2 linked regions of the Tamandua tetradactyla genome follow. The protein of the gene in region 2 purifies or fractionates together with the protein of the main gene of each other region. This does not show direct contact. Links are inferred from orthologs where the notes say so. Each region holds a gene or a part of one and is shown on either strand. Other genes may lie near its edges.

Region 1 (7,564 bases), on a different chromosome or scaffold from region 2:
GTGCCTAGCGGAGACCTCAGCACTGTCCTCTCCTGCCCTCGGGTGCTGTGAAGGTGCTGATGCGGTGACACCGCAGAATAACCTGGTTTTGGAAAGAAAGCGAGTCCACACCACACCTCTACGAGTGTCCTGCTCATTTATTATTTTGCAGCACAATGCCCAACGTAAAACATAATTGCAAATGTCCAGCTGTGCAAAAGGAGATAGTGCTTAAGTACAAATAGGAGACATGATTTCTTTTTAAATAAATACTTAAACACCACGGAAGGTCCTACAAGCGTTTGGACTCGAGGGTTTCTAGGTCTGTGTAAGCTGAGCTGCCTCACCCAGGGACCCACGATGGTCAGGATTCCCCTTCCCTGCCCCCTAGTAATCAAAAGATGGAATCAGCAGAGCCAGTGGTCCAATGTAATCACAATGATCCCCTTTTCTAGAGCTTTCCCTAGCTCTCTACAGAGTTGATCTGCCTGGGTAAAAACGATAGGAATTTCTCAAAGGTCAATGGTCCATAATGGTTAAGGAAGGATTCTACATGATTCTTGGTTCCCGATTCTAGTTAAGACAGACACACTTAGATGACCTTTTTCAGTTCGTCGTACAGAACCAGCACGAAGGCTCCACCCATGCCTCTGAGAACGTTCGACCAAGCACCCTTGAAGAACGCTTTGCCACCTTCATCCTTGAATATCTTCCTCCAGCAGTCGACAGTGCCTCTGTACATGATGTCAGCTGCAAGGAGAGTTAGGGTGTAACTGTTAAGTTCCTCGGGAAACAAGCACCATGCAAACCAAAGGGACTTTAAAGCAGTAAAACCCCACATGGCGATGTCTGGACAACTTGAAAACTCAAGTTTTGGTCACAGAGGAAAACAGGGTCCTTCTGGAGAGTTCCAGTGCAGAGGCCTTAGCCCCGTTTTCGCCATTCCCACTCAGAACCCCAGGTCCAGGGATGACAGACAGGAGCGGGAGTCAGTGAAAGGAAGGGGAAAGAGGGGTTCAGAGACCGTCACCTCAAGAAAGGAACACCTGCCAAGAAGAGAAGCCTGTTCGTAACAAGAACGCCTACTTCAGGTCTAGGCTACTTTGATAAAATATTCCCCAAAACTTTTTTTGGGAAGTGTGTTCTTTGATCATTCTGGGCCTCATCAGGATGGAGGCAAGAAGGCAAATTGAGCAGCGCACCTCTTTTTACTTTCCACACATGCTTTAAGAAACGTGCGTTTGCTCAGCATGGAAGCGGAGTTGAAAGACAAGGTACCTCCTTTGCGTCCAGACTGCATCATCATCCGCCGCCTCACGGTGTCGAAGGGGTAGGAGACCACGCCGGCGACAGCTGTCACCGTCTGGGCAATCATCCAGCTCACCACAATGTGGGTATTCTTGGGGTCAGGGAGCATACCTACGGAGGGACCAGCCAACGTGAGGCGTCATCACACACAGTCACGTGCTTGGGAAAGGCAGCACTAGAGTTTTGCAAAGCCCAAAACTTTGCAAACTGTTTTGCAAAGAACTGAAGCCCGTGGGTCCAGAGGGATCAGTTCCCAGAACCACCTAATTTTTACAAAACTTGGAGGACTCAGGACGGCTTTCCTGCAGGGTCCGTCACCCAAGCAGGACGGGAGCAAACAGCCTAGTGCACATCACAGCATGGCAGTCGCAGTAACAGCTCCCGTCCCAGATGCTCAGGTTTAGAGCCTAGGGACGCCTCTCTAGAACAGGGAACTGTGGTCTTGGGAATGGCTACCCCACACACCCCGTTCCTTAGAGGAAATGTCAAACGCTTCCACGTGGAAGGTCCAGGCTCCCGACCTTCTCAGCAGCTTACCTTTGGCTGTATCGTACACGCCGAAATAGGCGGCCCTGTAGATGATGATGCCTTGTACGGACACGTTGAAACCCTGGTACAGGCCTCGGACGCCGTCGGACTTGGTGATTTTCACCAGACAGTCTCCCAGGCCTTTGAATTCTCTTTCTGCCCCCGATTTCCCAACATCGGCCGCCAAACGGGTTCTCGCGAAATCCAGCGGGTAGACGAAGCAAAGGGAGGTGGCTCCGGCGGCCCCGCCGGAGGCCAGGTTGCCGGCAAAATACCTCCAGAACTGGGTGTGCTTGTCGACGCCGCCCAGGAACACCTGCTTATACTTATCCTTGAAGGCGAAGTTGAGGGCTTGGGTGGGGAAGTAGCGGATGACGTTGGCCAGGTTCCCCCTCCAGAAGGAGAGAATGCCCTGCTCCTTGGGGATGCGGACGATGCAGTCCACGATGCCCTTGTACTGCTTGTCCGCCGCGATCTGCTTGCTGGCGTGCTGGACCTGCAAGGGAGCGGGCCAAGGATCGCGAGGGCGTTCCCGGACCACAGACGCCGCCTGCGCGTCCTGGGAGCCCCGTTACAGGGCATGCATACCCCCCGGGGGCAGCGTCCTGCAACGGTCCTCCTTGCCGCGATCTCGAGAAGCCCGTCGTTGGAGCCGGAGGCCACGACGGGCTCCTGGAAGCAGTTTCGCCTGCTTCTGGACACTTGCACCATCCCTGGGGCAGGATTCCGGGGGGCGCAGCTGCACGCAACCCCTTAAAGCAACAGGAGGGAAAAGACCCCAAGGGCCTGGGACACGCAGCATTTTAGGGGGGAGCCCAGCGGGCTTGGAGACGCGCGCAATGGCAAGGTCAACCAAGGTCAAGCCCATCCCCCCCCCATCCAGGGGGCCCGGGGCCGGTCCCGCCGCGCGCCCCCCACGTGGCCGGCCCACGGGCCCCGGCAGGCGGCGGCCCCCACGTGCCCCGGGCTCGCCCCGCCCACGGAAGTGTCCCGCGCGCGGACAAAGCGCCGCGGCCTCCACTTCCGGCGCCCGCCTGCGCCCGGCCCTCCCCGGCGCGCGGCGCCCCCGGCCCCGGGCCGCCCCACCTGCAGCAGCAGCTTGACCCGCTCGATAGGGGCCACGGCCGTCTTGGAGATGGCGGCGGCGATGCCGCCCGCCAGGAAGTCCTTGGCGAAGGAGATGGCCTGTTCCGTCATGGCTGCGGGGCCGGGTGCGAGCGCGGGCAGCCGGGAGGGTCGCGCCGCCGGCACCGAAAGGACGCGGCGCCCAGCGCGCAGCCGCTAAGGCGCCCTCGCCCCGCCCCGCGGGCCCGCCCCCAGCGCCCATTGGCCGCGCCGCGTCGTGCCACGCCCATTCCACGCCCACTCCCCGCCCCGGCCCGCGCGCCGCGGGATGCCGGGAGCCGCGTCACCGCCCCGCTCCGTCGCGCTCATTGGCTGCGCCGCGCGCCGCGTCCCGCCCCTTCCGGCCGGACGCGCCGCCCCGAGGTATGCCGGGAGACGCGCCTGCCCATGCGCCGTGCGAGCCGGGGGGCCGCGGGGAGGCCGTGACCTTCTCAAGGTCACGGGGGAGGCCGCGCGGGACGCAGAGAAGGGGCCCCTGAGGGCCTCGGGACCGCCGACGACGGGGCCCGTCCGCCCACACCCAGGGGAGGGTGCCGGGGCTCGGGGCCTCTCCCTATCGCTCCCGCGCCCCGCCCTGTCTCTCTGCGGAACCCCTGGAGGGTGGGGCTCCCTCTGCGCCTGCGCCCCCGGGAGGGTGGGGGTTCCCCTGACTGTGCGCCCCCGGGAGGGTGGGAGCTACCCGACTCTGCGCCCCCGGGAGGGTGGGGCTCCCTCTGCGCCTGCGCCCCCGGGAGGGTGGGGGTCCCCTGACTCTGCACCCCCCGGGTGGGTGGGGGTCCCCTGACTCTGCAACCCTGAGAGAGTGCGGGTCCCCTGACTCTGCGCCCCTGGGAGGGTGCGGGCCCCCGCTGACTCTGCACCCCTGGGAGGGTGGGGGCTCCCCCTGTCTCTGCGCCCCTGGGAGGGTGGGGGCTCTCTCTGACTCTGCGACCTTGGAATGGTGGGGGCTCCCTCTGACTCTGCGACCCTGGGAGAATGGGGGCTCCCTTTGAGCCTGCACCCCTGGGAGGGTGGGCTACCCTCTGCCCTGTTCCCCCGTTAGAGTGGGGGCTCCTTCTGAGCCTGCACCTTTGGGTTTTCCTGCACCAAGTACCTGGAGGCCCAAGGCAGGCTGTGGAGCCCCCCCATGGTCCTCACGGGCAGGTCCCAGGGCCTCCAGCGTGGACACTTTTTCCTCGTCCCCTGCAAGGCAGTGCTGAGATTTGGGGGCTCGGGGAAGAGCAGGCCAGGCGCTACCCGGCCTGCCCCTGCACAGGCACACCCAGGCATGCCTGGGAATGCTCTGACCTTTTTGTTGGGTTTATGGAAAACTGCCCAAGACCCACGTGTGTCCCATGAGCTGACTTTCCACAGGCTGAACCCTTCCGTGGGACCAGCCCCGAGGTCAAACAGCCCCGTCAGCCACCCAGCAGCAAAGCCCCACCTTCCTGCCTCCCTGCACCTTTCTTTCTCTTTCCTCCTCCTTTGCATCCTTCCTCTCTCTTTCCTTCCCTCCCTCCTTTGTTCCCTTCCCCCTTCTTTTTTATCTTTTTTTTTTTTTTATGGCCAGTATGCCCGGCAGGTTGACCCACTGAGTGGATGGACGCATGGAAGGGACCCTCTTTCTGGGACTTCCATCCCATGCATTCCACCAGCTTGCAATGTCCTTGTCCATTCCAGCCGGCTTCGACCCTTCCCTATAAGGCAGATAAGGAAAAGGGCTTGAGGCTGGCCAAGTTCCAGAGGCCCTGGGGCTGGAGGAGACCAGCTCGGACAGTTTGGAGGGTCAAAGGGTCTGGCCTGGGAGAATTGCCGAAAGGAAGCTTCCAGCCCATTCTTCCACAAAATCAGCCTGTCTGGGCTGGGAAGGGCCCAAGAAATTACTCATTCCCTGGTGAGCCGGTGGGTCCCAGGAGCGGGGCCTCTGGCATTACCTCCAGAGCAAGCCCCGTGGCCTCTGGAGTGAGCGAGAGTGGAAAGTTCCCCTCAAGCAGGTGGGGGCGGAGGAGACGAACCCGGCCCCTCCTGGGGATCGAAGGTGGCGGCTCTCGTGGCTGGCTGGGATTCAGGACACGCTTATCCATAGAAAGCGCTAACCCGTGGAGTTAGACGTACACAGGCCCCATTTGCCCTTCTCGAAGGGCAGTGGGAAAACTCGAGAAACCCGGAACTTGGGAAAGAAGGGTGTGGGGAGACAAATACCTGTGGGCTGGTGGGTCACCTTGAAGAATGAAGCTCCCTGACCTGAGAGTGGGGACAAGGAGAATTGACTGCCTAGGAATGCTCACTCCTCCGTCTTTGTCTACTGGGTTGTATTAAATAACTCATTTAATATGAGGAATGCTTAAATATCTGAAACATTTTGGGTGTTCGCTGATTGCTCCAAATGTGCTGAGCGTGGGGGAGCCCCGTCTTTGGTGTATCACCTCATGCCCAGTGCAGGCCCCTGACGGGGACCGACCTTCCAAGGGCCCCGGGGAGGGCTGCAGCTCTCCTTGCACACGTGGTATCTTAGGGCTTGTCTGCACCCCTTGCCACAAAAAGAGAAACCCAGAGGGCAGTTTTCATTCACTGGCATGCTGAAATAGAATGACCCTGGTATGCAGCTGGAATATGCAGAAAGAACACAGAAGGGATGATTTCCACCTCAAGGGTGGGGGGTCAGGTCAGCCTGCCAGGTGCAGGATTCCAACCTCGAGGTCCCTTTTGGGCTCTAAGTAATTAAAACCCCTTCAGGACACATGGGCACAGGTACATGGACACATTTCTTCTCAGGGTCCCCTCGCTATTGTTTTTTGCATGTCGTTCCTAATAAAAACAGAAAGATACGTTGTGTCTGTCATGCTTTCTCTTGGTTTTTTACAGTTTTACCATAAAAAATTCAAGAGGGAGAGTGTGTCATATAATGCCCCCCCCCCATGAGCCCTTTATCCAGTATCCAAGATGGTGTCACTGGTTACTTTCCAACTTCCCTTTCTTTGAGGGCCAGCCTGGGGGACGCCCCACATGCACCAGCCCCCAACCACCTTCTCCGGACAGGACCAACCCCGGGACCTGAGGTTCTCTCCAGACCTCCAGGGAGCCTGTGCCCTCCGCTCAGCAGAGGTGCCGCCGCCTCCAGGAAGCCTTCTGGGGTCTACAGTCGGGGACACACGGCTTCCCAAGGACCAGATGGGGGTGTGGGGCATGGCCTTTAGGGACACTCTCTGGGGGCTTTTCCGTGAGGTCCCCGGCCCCCAACCCAATCCCCAACGCACCCCCAGACCCACCTGTACCCGCCACACACACCCCCTTCCTAGTCCAAGTTGAATTTCCTTCCTCTTCCCTCCACCTTCATGATTTGCTTTTTATTTGGATTCCACCAAAATTACAGACATAGGCAATCAACTGTCATATTTATATAAAATACATTTCATAGGCACATATTAATTCATATAGGTATATATATAACTTTTTTCTTTTTTGGGGGTGCATGGTAGGGGAGCCGAACCTGGGTCTCCTGCATGGAAGGTGAGCATTCCACCCCTGAGCCACCCGTGCGCCCCAGAACTATACATTTCTATAAACTATGTCCCATGGTGGTTTTTAGCAGGAAAACGACTGAACCATTAGTGCCCACCAGATAGGAGCTGACAGAGCTACTACCCAGACTAAGGTCTCCAGTTCTGATGTATCCTTCCAAGCAACCATCCGTGCACAGGTTGCTACATATTTACGAGTGGACAAAAGAGTTTGTACACACTTGCTCTGGTAAGAAAAGCCACACGGCTGAAACATAACCCAGGCTTCCTTCCCACAGCCCTCTGATGTCTACATTAAGGAGATTTGCAGCAGAAATAATCTGAATGCCGCAAGCCACGCGTCCCGGGACCCCTTTGCAGACTCCCCTGCTCCAGGGATTCGGTCTCACGCGGAGATTGCTGGTGAAAGTCTGCAGGGAGCAACAAAACCTCCTGGCGAAGGGCTGCAACCAAAGAGGACTGGCGCGTGCACGGCAGGAACGTGCCAGAACCTTTGGACCCAAAGGTGGCTGGCTGGATCGTGAGAAGCTGGCAAAGGTCCGGCGTGGGAGAAAACGGCATCTCAGAAAGGAGCTGCGCTTTCCAGAAGACCCATCTCGCCTGCTCTCCTGGGTGAGTTGCTGTCCTTATGTTCAGACACGGTGGAATGTGGGGAGACACAGCTTCACCTCACCATGAGGCTCTGTGGGCAGAACCCATGCAGAGACGGGGCAGTGCCACTGGCGGTCGTTGTGAGGCCCCGTGCAAGGCAGGTGTGTGAGATTAGAAAACACGACTCGAAGTATCCGAGTCCCAGCCGGTCCTCGTTACAGGTGAATAATTTTCTTCGACTCATGAAAATTTACCTGTAACCCCCACATCGATACCCGTGGCATGTTTAGTGCCATGCCTTCCACGTTTGTGTGTTTGGCGGGGGGTTTCCTGGTTTCAGGTGCCCGAGTGATGTGCGAAAGCACCGTCCGGCCTTCGCTAGCACGAGGAGGCTGAGACGTGCCGCACGGAGAAAGCATGCGGTTAGATAAGCTTCTCTCGGGCACCAACGAAGTGCCTAACCATTAACGGTGAGCCCAGTGCCAGATCAGCTGTATTTGTTAAAGAAGGTGCCTTTAAATGGAAACACAACA
Region 2 (8,038 bases):
TCAATAGAAGAAATTTGAAAGACAAAAAACTATTTTCTTTTAAATGAAGTATTAAACCGTGGGCATGAAAACTCTGCAAATTCAACAGCAGTGGACTGTATAATGGAAAGAGATTTCTGAAGATGTGAGAAGACTCACATTTATGCCCTGGTTCTGTCACTAGCTCTGTGGTCCTAAATAAGTTACTTACTCTCACAGAATTACCATGAGGGGAAATTATCCAGTGAGATTTCTGAGGTGACAGTGAGACTCCAGTGAGAATCAAATGATGTAACATACATAATGTTTGCAGACATATGCATATATGGTGCTGTAATTAATAATTCTATGCCATTGCATTATCAACTCAGAAGGCAATGCCTTATTTCCCAACATACTTTGCCTCTGGTTCCCACTAGACAAGAACAGTGGGTAACATTCATAACTACTCCAGAGAAGTGAGGACCAGGTTTAAGTTTTCTGACGTGAATAAGAACCAGGTGACTGGTATGTTTTGAGTTCCCTTGAGTTCTAGCATGGCCTCCTCAGGACCCTGAAGACCAAATCTCACCCAGGGTCCAACTTTCCCAAGTTGACTGAGCAGGGTGAGGGGCGGGGAGAACTAAAACAAGCACAAATCCAGAAAACGGAGAGTGCTAGAAGTCACTTGTGAACACCAAAGCAGAGGCAAGTTAGAAGAGAAAATGTGGGTGAAAAGCAGCAACACAAATATTCCATGGGCAAAATTCAGACTTCAAGTACTGAAAAAGAACAAGCAGCTTTATCATGCCTCTATCTTTGCTTGGTTTTGTTTCATAGCAGCCTGAAAATTAATAGTCAGATGGAAAAAAATTTACAGTTTAAGGAAAATAAAAGTAACGATTCATCCTAGATATAAATGTTCTTATATAAAGGAAGTTAGATATATTGGGTCACCCTGATTTTATAGAGATGGATACAAAAATAGGCATAGAGGTAAAGATACAGATTTAGCAATAGAGATAATTCTTACATATGTCTAGCCTCTCAAATAAGCATTAAGAAACAGTGGTTTTCTAACTGCCCCTTGGAGTCCAAAGTTCTGTTTTCTTTCTCTTCAGGATTTAACATGTGAACAACAAAACTGATTTCAGTTCCCAAATCTCAAAATGCACTCAAAAAAGTTATCACGTTATGCGGTAATTCTGTTTTGACTGCAAATTATCCTTAATTGTCATCTTAGAGCTCCCTATTTAATATATCCAAGTTATTTAGCAAATCTCTAGGTTTCCTATTACAAGAATTCTAAAAGTTTCAGGTTAACTCATTTTACATGAAAACTGCTACAGTACAAAGTATAAATTTAAACACATAAGGGAATCAAAGCACTGTCTTTAGATATGATAAGGTAAACTACTAACAAAACCACAAATCTAACAGTCTTCAAATAAAAAAAAAATCTCTTGACACCTAAGAGAGTTCCTCAGTTGCATTTTATTGCTGTCAATTATACCCCTTTTCCAAACTATTAACAGGGATGTCATATCTAGGACAAGACTGTGCTCTGGGAAGATTCTTAGACTAATCTGATGTGAACACTAATGAGCTCATCTAGGCGATAACAAAACTAGATCTCAACCCATTATTACTCCTGTCAATTCCCGTACATATTCTGTCGGTTGGTATTATAAAGTTACTTCTTAAAGTAGACCCACAGTTAGCATTTGATAATAATTGGGCAATGCTGCCATCTTCAAATCACGGTCAGCGGTTGACCAAGGCAAATCTCAGAAATAACAAGAACTCCGAGTATGTAATGACAGAAAATCATCTCTTTCCAAGCAGAAGGGGAACTGGACACAAAGAAAACTCTTTTACCTGCTGCACACTCGCGACTCTCATGTATGAGTCCAAGACAATCAAGAGAGGCACATGGACATTTTTGCCTTGAAATAATTTGGAGGCTGGAAAAGAAGCGGGTGGGGGGAAAGAAGCAAAATTATGATTCACGAAGCCCTTTTAAAATCTGAAGGGGGTGGGGGACAGCAAAAGAGGCCCCAAGACTTTCCTGAAATTTCCAATTCCCTTCTCTGTCTCAGGGAAAGGAACAGGGAATTGGCCACTTCTTAAAAGTCGTGGCCTGAGTAGAGATCCAAAGAGCAGGGAATAAAGTTTGCAAATGTGTGCGTGTGTGTATGTGTGCGTGTGTGACGGGGGTGGGGGTGGGGGTGGGGGGGTGAGGAACAGGTCCCTTGCAAATGATTACCGTGGTCGGCGAAGGTGAACACCAGCATATCCTCCAGGATTTGGACGAGCGTCTCTATCTGTTTTCCTTCCTGGACATTTTTCAGCCTAACTATCAACTTCTTCAGAGTTTCCTCGTCCTCCTCCTCGGACCCCTGACAGCTGCCACTGGCCATGGTGGACCCCGCTCCACACCCGCCGCCCCTCCGTGCACGAATGCCGGGCTGCTCAGGGAGCGGTTCCGGGCGCAGGCCACTGCTCCCCGGGGCGAGCACAACTCACCGCCCGCAGCCGGCACTACCCGCCGGCCCCATCTGCCCACGCCCGCTTGTTGATGAGGAAAGCGACGTCTCTCCGCCTTGCACTCCCCTTCCTCTCCCCGAGCCCTCCTCCCCTGCTTCCTCCAAACCCCCGCTCCAAAAAAAAAAAAAAACGAGCTGTGGCCTGCCGGAGGCTCGGCTGAGGCGACGCGACGCGCCGCGCAAAATCGCTGCCTGGTGGTCCAGGCTGGGCTCGACCCGCGTGAGCCGGGCCGGGCCGGGCCGACGGGAACCGTGACCCGCGCGTGCTCCGCTACGGTACCCGCGACGGGCGCCGTTTCGTCTGTCCGGATTCCTCAGCCGCGGCGCCACTACCGCAGTCGCGCAGGAACAAACTGACTCAGCGAACTTCGCCGAGTACCCGCGGCCGGGTGCGGAGGAGGCGCGCAGGCTGCTGCTGGAGCCCGCCACCCTCCCGGACCCGCCAACCTGGACTCCTTTAGCCCCAAGAAGGTTTGGAAACCAGGAAAAGCAAAAGTGAAAGCCGCCTAACTCCAAATCTAAGAATAGAAATCAGGGCGTAGGAGAAAAAGGACGCCGCCCAGTTGGCCCTTTAAGGGAAGCATTCTCTTTAGGGTTCCCCCTAGAGGGAGATGAGTCATTCCCACCCCCACCCCCCCAGATGGAGCGACGTTTTAGCAATCAAAATTTGCCCGGCTAAATTGTTTTATGTGACTCTTAAATTCTACCTGTTTGTAGGGGAGGAAATAAAATGTGTCTTCCTTGTTAGTTATCTGAAGTTCTGGTGGCCAAAACGGCTCTGAAATTAATTAACTTTTGAGTTTGCCTAGGTCGGATCCTGATAATTGGGGCACACCAACAAGTAATCAACCAGTGCTTTTATGAGTAAAGAGAAAGACAAGGTAAATGAAATGACCTGTAGAAAAGATGAAAGAACAAAAACTAAATTTTGCAGCTCTGCTGTTCAGACTTAAGAATATGGGCATTAACAACTCTAAAGTTAAAAAAAAAATGTACCAAAGTCATATGTTGTTCACAAAAGGAAATCTACTTAAAAAGCTCTGTAGACGGCTGGACACAGGTGTTCTATCCTCAGCGTCATTCATAAAGGAAAAGACTGGACTGGAAGTTAGTACTTCACAATTTTAGATTCCTTTCATGTCCCCTAACTTGTTTATGCTGATGACAACTGTGAAATGGATAAGACAGCTATTACTTATCATTCTTTATTAATGAGAAAATTGATATTCGGAGATGTTCGGTGAGGAGATTTGCCCCATTCACACAATTTGCAAGTTGAGATTTGGGATTTAAACTCATGTCAATCTCTTAACACCAAATTCAGGGTTCTTCACAATCTGTTACTTTAATCAAAATGAGATAGCATTCCGTAATCATTATGTGAGTAAAGTAGCAAATTGGCAGTATTAATGATTATGATAGTATGAGTATGTTTCATAAATGTTTTATTATTGTTATAAAGAGATTTCTATCTTTTACAGATTCATGATAAAATATTTACAACTGAAATGATATAATGGTTAATATTTACTTCGAAGTAATATAATAGTGGGAGAAGAGATAAAGTGCATGGAGGTATAAATGAAACAATATTAACTTTGAATTAAAAATTGTTGCAGATGGGTTCTTGGGAGTTCTCATACTATTCTCTCTACCTTTTATAATAAAGACAATTTCCATAATGAAAACTTAAAAAAAAATCTCTGCTTTGTAATCTTTATCGTATCTGCAATATATCTCTTATTAACTGGCTTCTGAACTTCTTTGACTTCTGACTACATAATGGATATCAAACTTTCCTATCAATTCTCCCTTCATACCTTCCTTACACCTTCTTCTGCATCAGTTTTCCCTTCTCAGTCTACTGGATTATTATCATACAAGAAATGAAAGTACAGCTCCTTTCTAAGAGAAGGTAAATTTAAATAGAAAAGGAACTTCCTCTTTTCCTCAATTGATATTCATCCATCCGTTATCTATTTATTTTCTACTCTATATTAACCAGAATAAGAGTAGGTGATTTTCTAGCAATGCCTAGAGTGTATGCTAATAGTGAAATGTACAAGGTACAATTTTAAAAATGTTTTTGCATGAGGAAGAACAAAGGAATGTCATTATTGCAGGGTATTGAAAATAAATGGTAATTAATATTTTAAAATGTCACCTTCTGTGTGAGACTAAAGCAAAAAATGTTTGTTACAAAATTTATATTTTGACTAGTGCATCTCCTAATATAACTTATGTAGATAGTTTGATTGAATGCCATAAGTACTTGGAATCTCAGGTAGGACATGAGATTTTGCTGGTTTGTCCAGAGTGATGCCCCGATGAATCCCAGAATGATTCAATCAGTGAGTGGAAAAGTATCTGCAAAGCCCCCTTCGGGGAGTGGTGAGAATGGGGAGAAATTCAACTTCCCCAAGTTGAATTCTTGATATTCTCACAAGCAGTGTGGACAACCAAAACTATAGGCAGAGCCCCCAGTCTTGGGGTTTGTTCATATGAAACTTAACCCCACAAAGGATAGGTCAAGTCTACTTAAAATTTAGGCCTAAGAGTCACCCCCAAGAGAGCCTCTTTTTTTGCTCAGATGTGGCCCCTCTCTCCAGCCAACGCAATGAGCAGTCTCACCACCCTACCCCTCTCTACGTGGGACATAACTCCCAGGGGTGTGGACCTTCCTGGCAACTTGGGACAGAGATCTTGGAATGAACGGAGACTCAGCATCAAGGGATTGAGAAAAACCCTAGAATGAGCTGAGACTTAGCATCAAGGGATTGAGAAAACCTTCTCAACCAAAAGGGGGAAGAGGGAAATGAGACAAAGTGTCAATGGCTGAGAGATTCCAAACAGAGTCGAGAGGTTATCCTGGAGGTTACTCTTATGCATCAAGTAGATGTCATCTTGTTATTCAAGATATTATGGAGAGGCTGGAGGGAACTGCCTGAAAATGTAGAGCTGTGTTCCAGTAGCCATGTTTCTTGAGGATGATTGAATAATGATACAGCTGTCACAATGTGACTGTGTTATTGTGAAAACCTTGTGTCTGATGCTCCTTTTATCTACCTTGTCAACAAAGGAGTAGAACATATGGAATAAAAATAAATAATAGGGGGAACAAATGCTAAAATAAATTTAGTTTAAATGCTAGTGATCAATGAAAGCGAGGGGTAAGGGGTATGGTATGTATAACTTTTTTTTCTCTGTTATCATTTTATTTCTTTTTCTGTTATCTTTTTATTTCTTTTTCTAAATCGATGCAACTGTTCTAAGAAATGATGAATATGCAACTAAGTGATGATATTGTGAATTACTGATTATGTATGTTTTATGAGGATTAACCGAATAGGCAAACAGCCAGCCGTTTCAGGACAAGCCTGTATTGAAAATGCAGCTATTCAGAAATGATTTATGGAAAGTCTTATTGTCTGACAGTTAGGACTCCTGTGTGTTGCATGTGAAGCCAACAAATTTTTTGCAAGATCTGTGTGAACAGAACCACTGCCAGTGTGGGCTAAAGGGAGATAGAAAAGGAAGAGATTGAAGGAAAAATTACTTCAAAGGCAGAACCATGGGAACTGATATCTGGTACAAAGAAATCTTGGACCAGGATAGTGGACCCACCCATGCATGTGGAATGGGTGAGTCCCAGAGTTTGCAGAGAATGGGCCTCCCACCCATTGTACAAGAAGAGTATTACCTCATGGCTCTCAGATGCCTGGGAAGTTGAGGGGAGCTTGGCTGCCCTATTGTTCAGGAAGAATGTTGCCTCCTCAGCCCTCTGAGAAGGTGGAGCACATTCTCCAGGGACTGGGGAGACCCTGGCCACAACCCCACTGTTCAGAGAAGGGTGAGCCTGTGCCTAGAGATGACAGAGAGTCTAGCTGCCACTCAGATGCTTGAAGAGGGTGGAATGGAAAATATATCTGTCTCCCCAATGTTTGGAGATATTGGATCCCTCAGCCTAGTGTTTGGAGAAAGCAGGGCTGCTGTGCACTGTGCAAGACCATGGAAAGGGTAGGACTGTTGCTCTCTCAAGCCTCAAGACAAAATGTCATTCTATAGCTGACTCTCAGATCTTAAAATCTAATGAAGTATGCCCTTCAGTTTTTCAGAACTGTTTCAGAACTTTGATGCCTATTTTCCTTCCAATCTCTCTCCATGGAAATGGGAACATCTATCCTATGACTGTTTCTCCTCTGTATATTGGAAGCAGATAACTTGTTCTAAGTTCCACAGCCAGAGGAGAATTTTGCCTTAGGATATGCCACACCTGTAACTGATTTTGATGAGACTTTATACTTAATATTGTTACTGAAATAATTTAAGGTTTTTGTGATATTGTAATGGGATGAATGTATTTTGCATATGGAAAGAACATGTCCTTTTAGGGTCCAGAGGCAGAGTATGCTGGTTTGAAACTGTCATGTACCCTGAAAAGGCCATGTTCTTTTAATCCATTCCTGTGGCAGCAGAACTATTGTAAATGAAATCTTTTGATATGTTATTTCAATTGAGGCATGACCCACCCAATTTTTTTTTTTGCTTCAAAGTATGTTTCATTGAAACTGTGCTTACAATATGCAAACTGTTTCAAAAGTCCAAGCCAGAAATATTTATTATCTTTGCATCCAATAATTATAACAATCTACATAGGAATCAATAACTTCAGTTGTTAGGTAACTTGTTAGAATAAATATTAATGTCAGATGTCAATCCACTTTTAAAAATCCATTTATTTGAAATAAATGAGCTTTGCTCACAGAGCTTCTCTGCTCCATTTTTCCTAAAGGCCACCATGACTGCTGCCTTTACATGTTGTTCCTACTTTTTTTCCATGATAGTTATTTTAGAGGGATGACAATTTTTCTCCCCCCACCCCCAGTTAAAATCCCCACCTCATATCATACAAACTTAGATGACCAAATTTCAGTGTAAAGTGATTATATGAAGATTTCAATTCCTAAGTAGTAGTGACAGCTCAGTCTGAAAAAGTAGATGTGAGAGTAAAATGTGTCCAAAGGTGAAGAAAGGTACTTTTGGTTTGACCCACTCAACTTAAGGTGGGTCTTAATCCTTTACTAGAGTCCTTTATGAGAGGATAAGAGACATTTGGAGAGAGAGAAGCACCCAGAGAAGCAAGAAGAACCCACAGGACCTGTAAGAAAAAGCCACTGGGACCAGAAGCTGGAAGCAACATAAGCTGGGAACAAAGAACCAGCAGATACCAGCATGTTCTTTCTCATAAGACAGAGGAATCCCAGATGCCAACAGCCTTTCTTTAGAGAAGGTGTCATCCTATTGCTGCCTTAATTTGGACATTTCACAGACTTAGAACTGTAAATTTGTAAATTAATAAATCCTCATTGTAAAAACCAACCCATTTCTGGTATATTGCATTCTGGCAGCTTTAGCAAACTGAAAAATATGGGGCCATTAATTTTCTGTTGAGAGCTTCCTTCTATAAACTCCTACCATAGTAGGAAAAAATGTCCTCTTAGCTTTCAAAAATTCTTAATTGATCGAATAAAATC

What was found.
Region 1: the proteins of LRRK2 (region 2) and SLC25A6 purify together in Homo sapiens (co-immunoprecipitation; 3 studies listed by IntAct, with this or other methods). This does not show direct contact. The link is inferred for Tamandua tetradactyla from reciprocal best matches to the Homo sapiens genes LRRK2 and SLC25A6.

What each region holds. Positions count from the first base shown.
Region 1 is NC_135353.1:173,457,941-173,465,504, reverse strand, and holds SLC25A6 (ADP/ATP translocase 3), read right to left. Parts: upstream 3,097-7,564; 5' UTR 3,013-3,096; coding exon 2,902-3,012; intron 2,312-2,901; coding exon 1,825-2,311; intron 1,399-1,824; coding exon 1,258-1,398; intron 730-1,257; coding exon 572-729; 3' UTR 120-571; downstream 1-119. UniProt on the Homo sapiens protein: ADP:ATP antiporter that mediates import of ADP into the mitochondrial matrix for ATP synthesis, and export of ATP out to fuel the cell.
Region 2 is NC_135333.1:99,678,796-99,686,833, reverse strand, and holds the start of LRRK2 (leucine-rich repeat serine/threonine-protein kinase 2), read right to left. Parts: upstream 3,088-8,038; 5' UTR 2,379-3,087; coding exon 2,225-2,378; intron 1,923-2,224; coding exon 1,837-1,922; intron 1-1,836. UniProt on the Homo sapiens protein: Serine/threonine-protein kinase which phosphorylates a broad range of proteins involved in multiple processes such as neuronal plasticity, innate immunity, autophagy, and vesicle trafficking.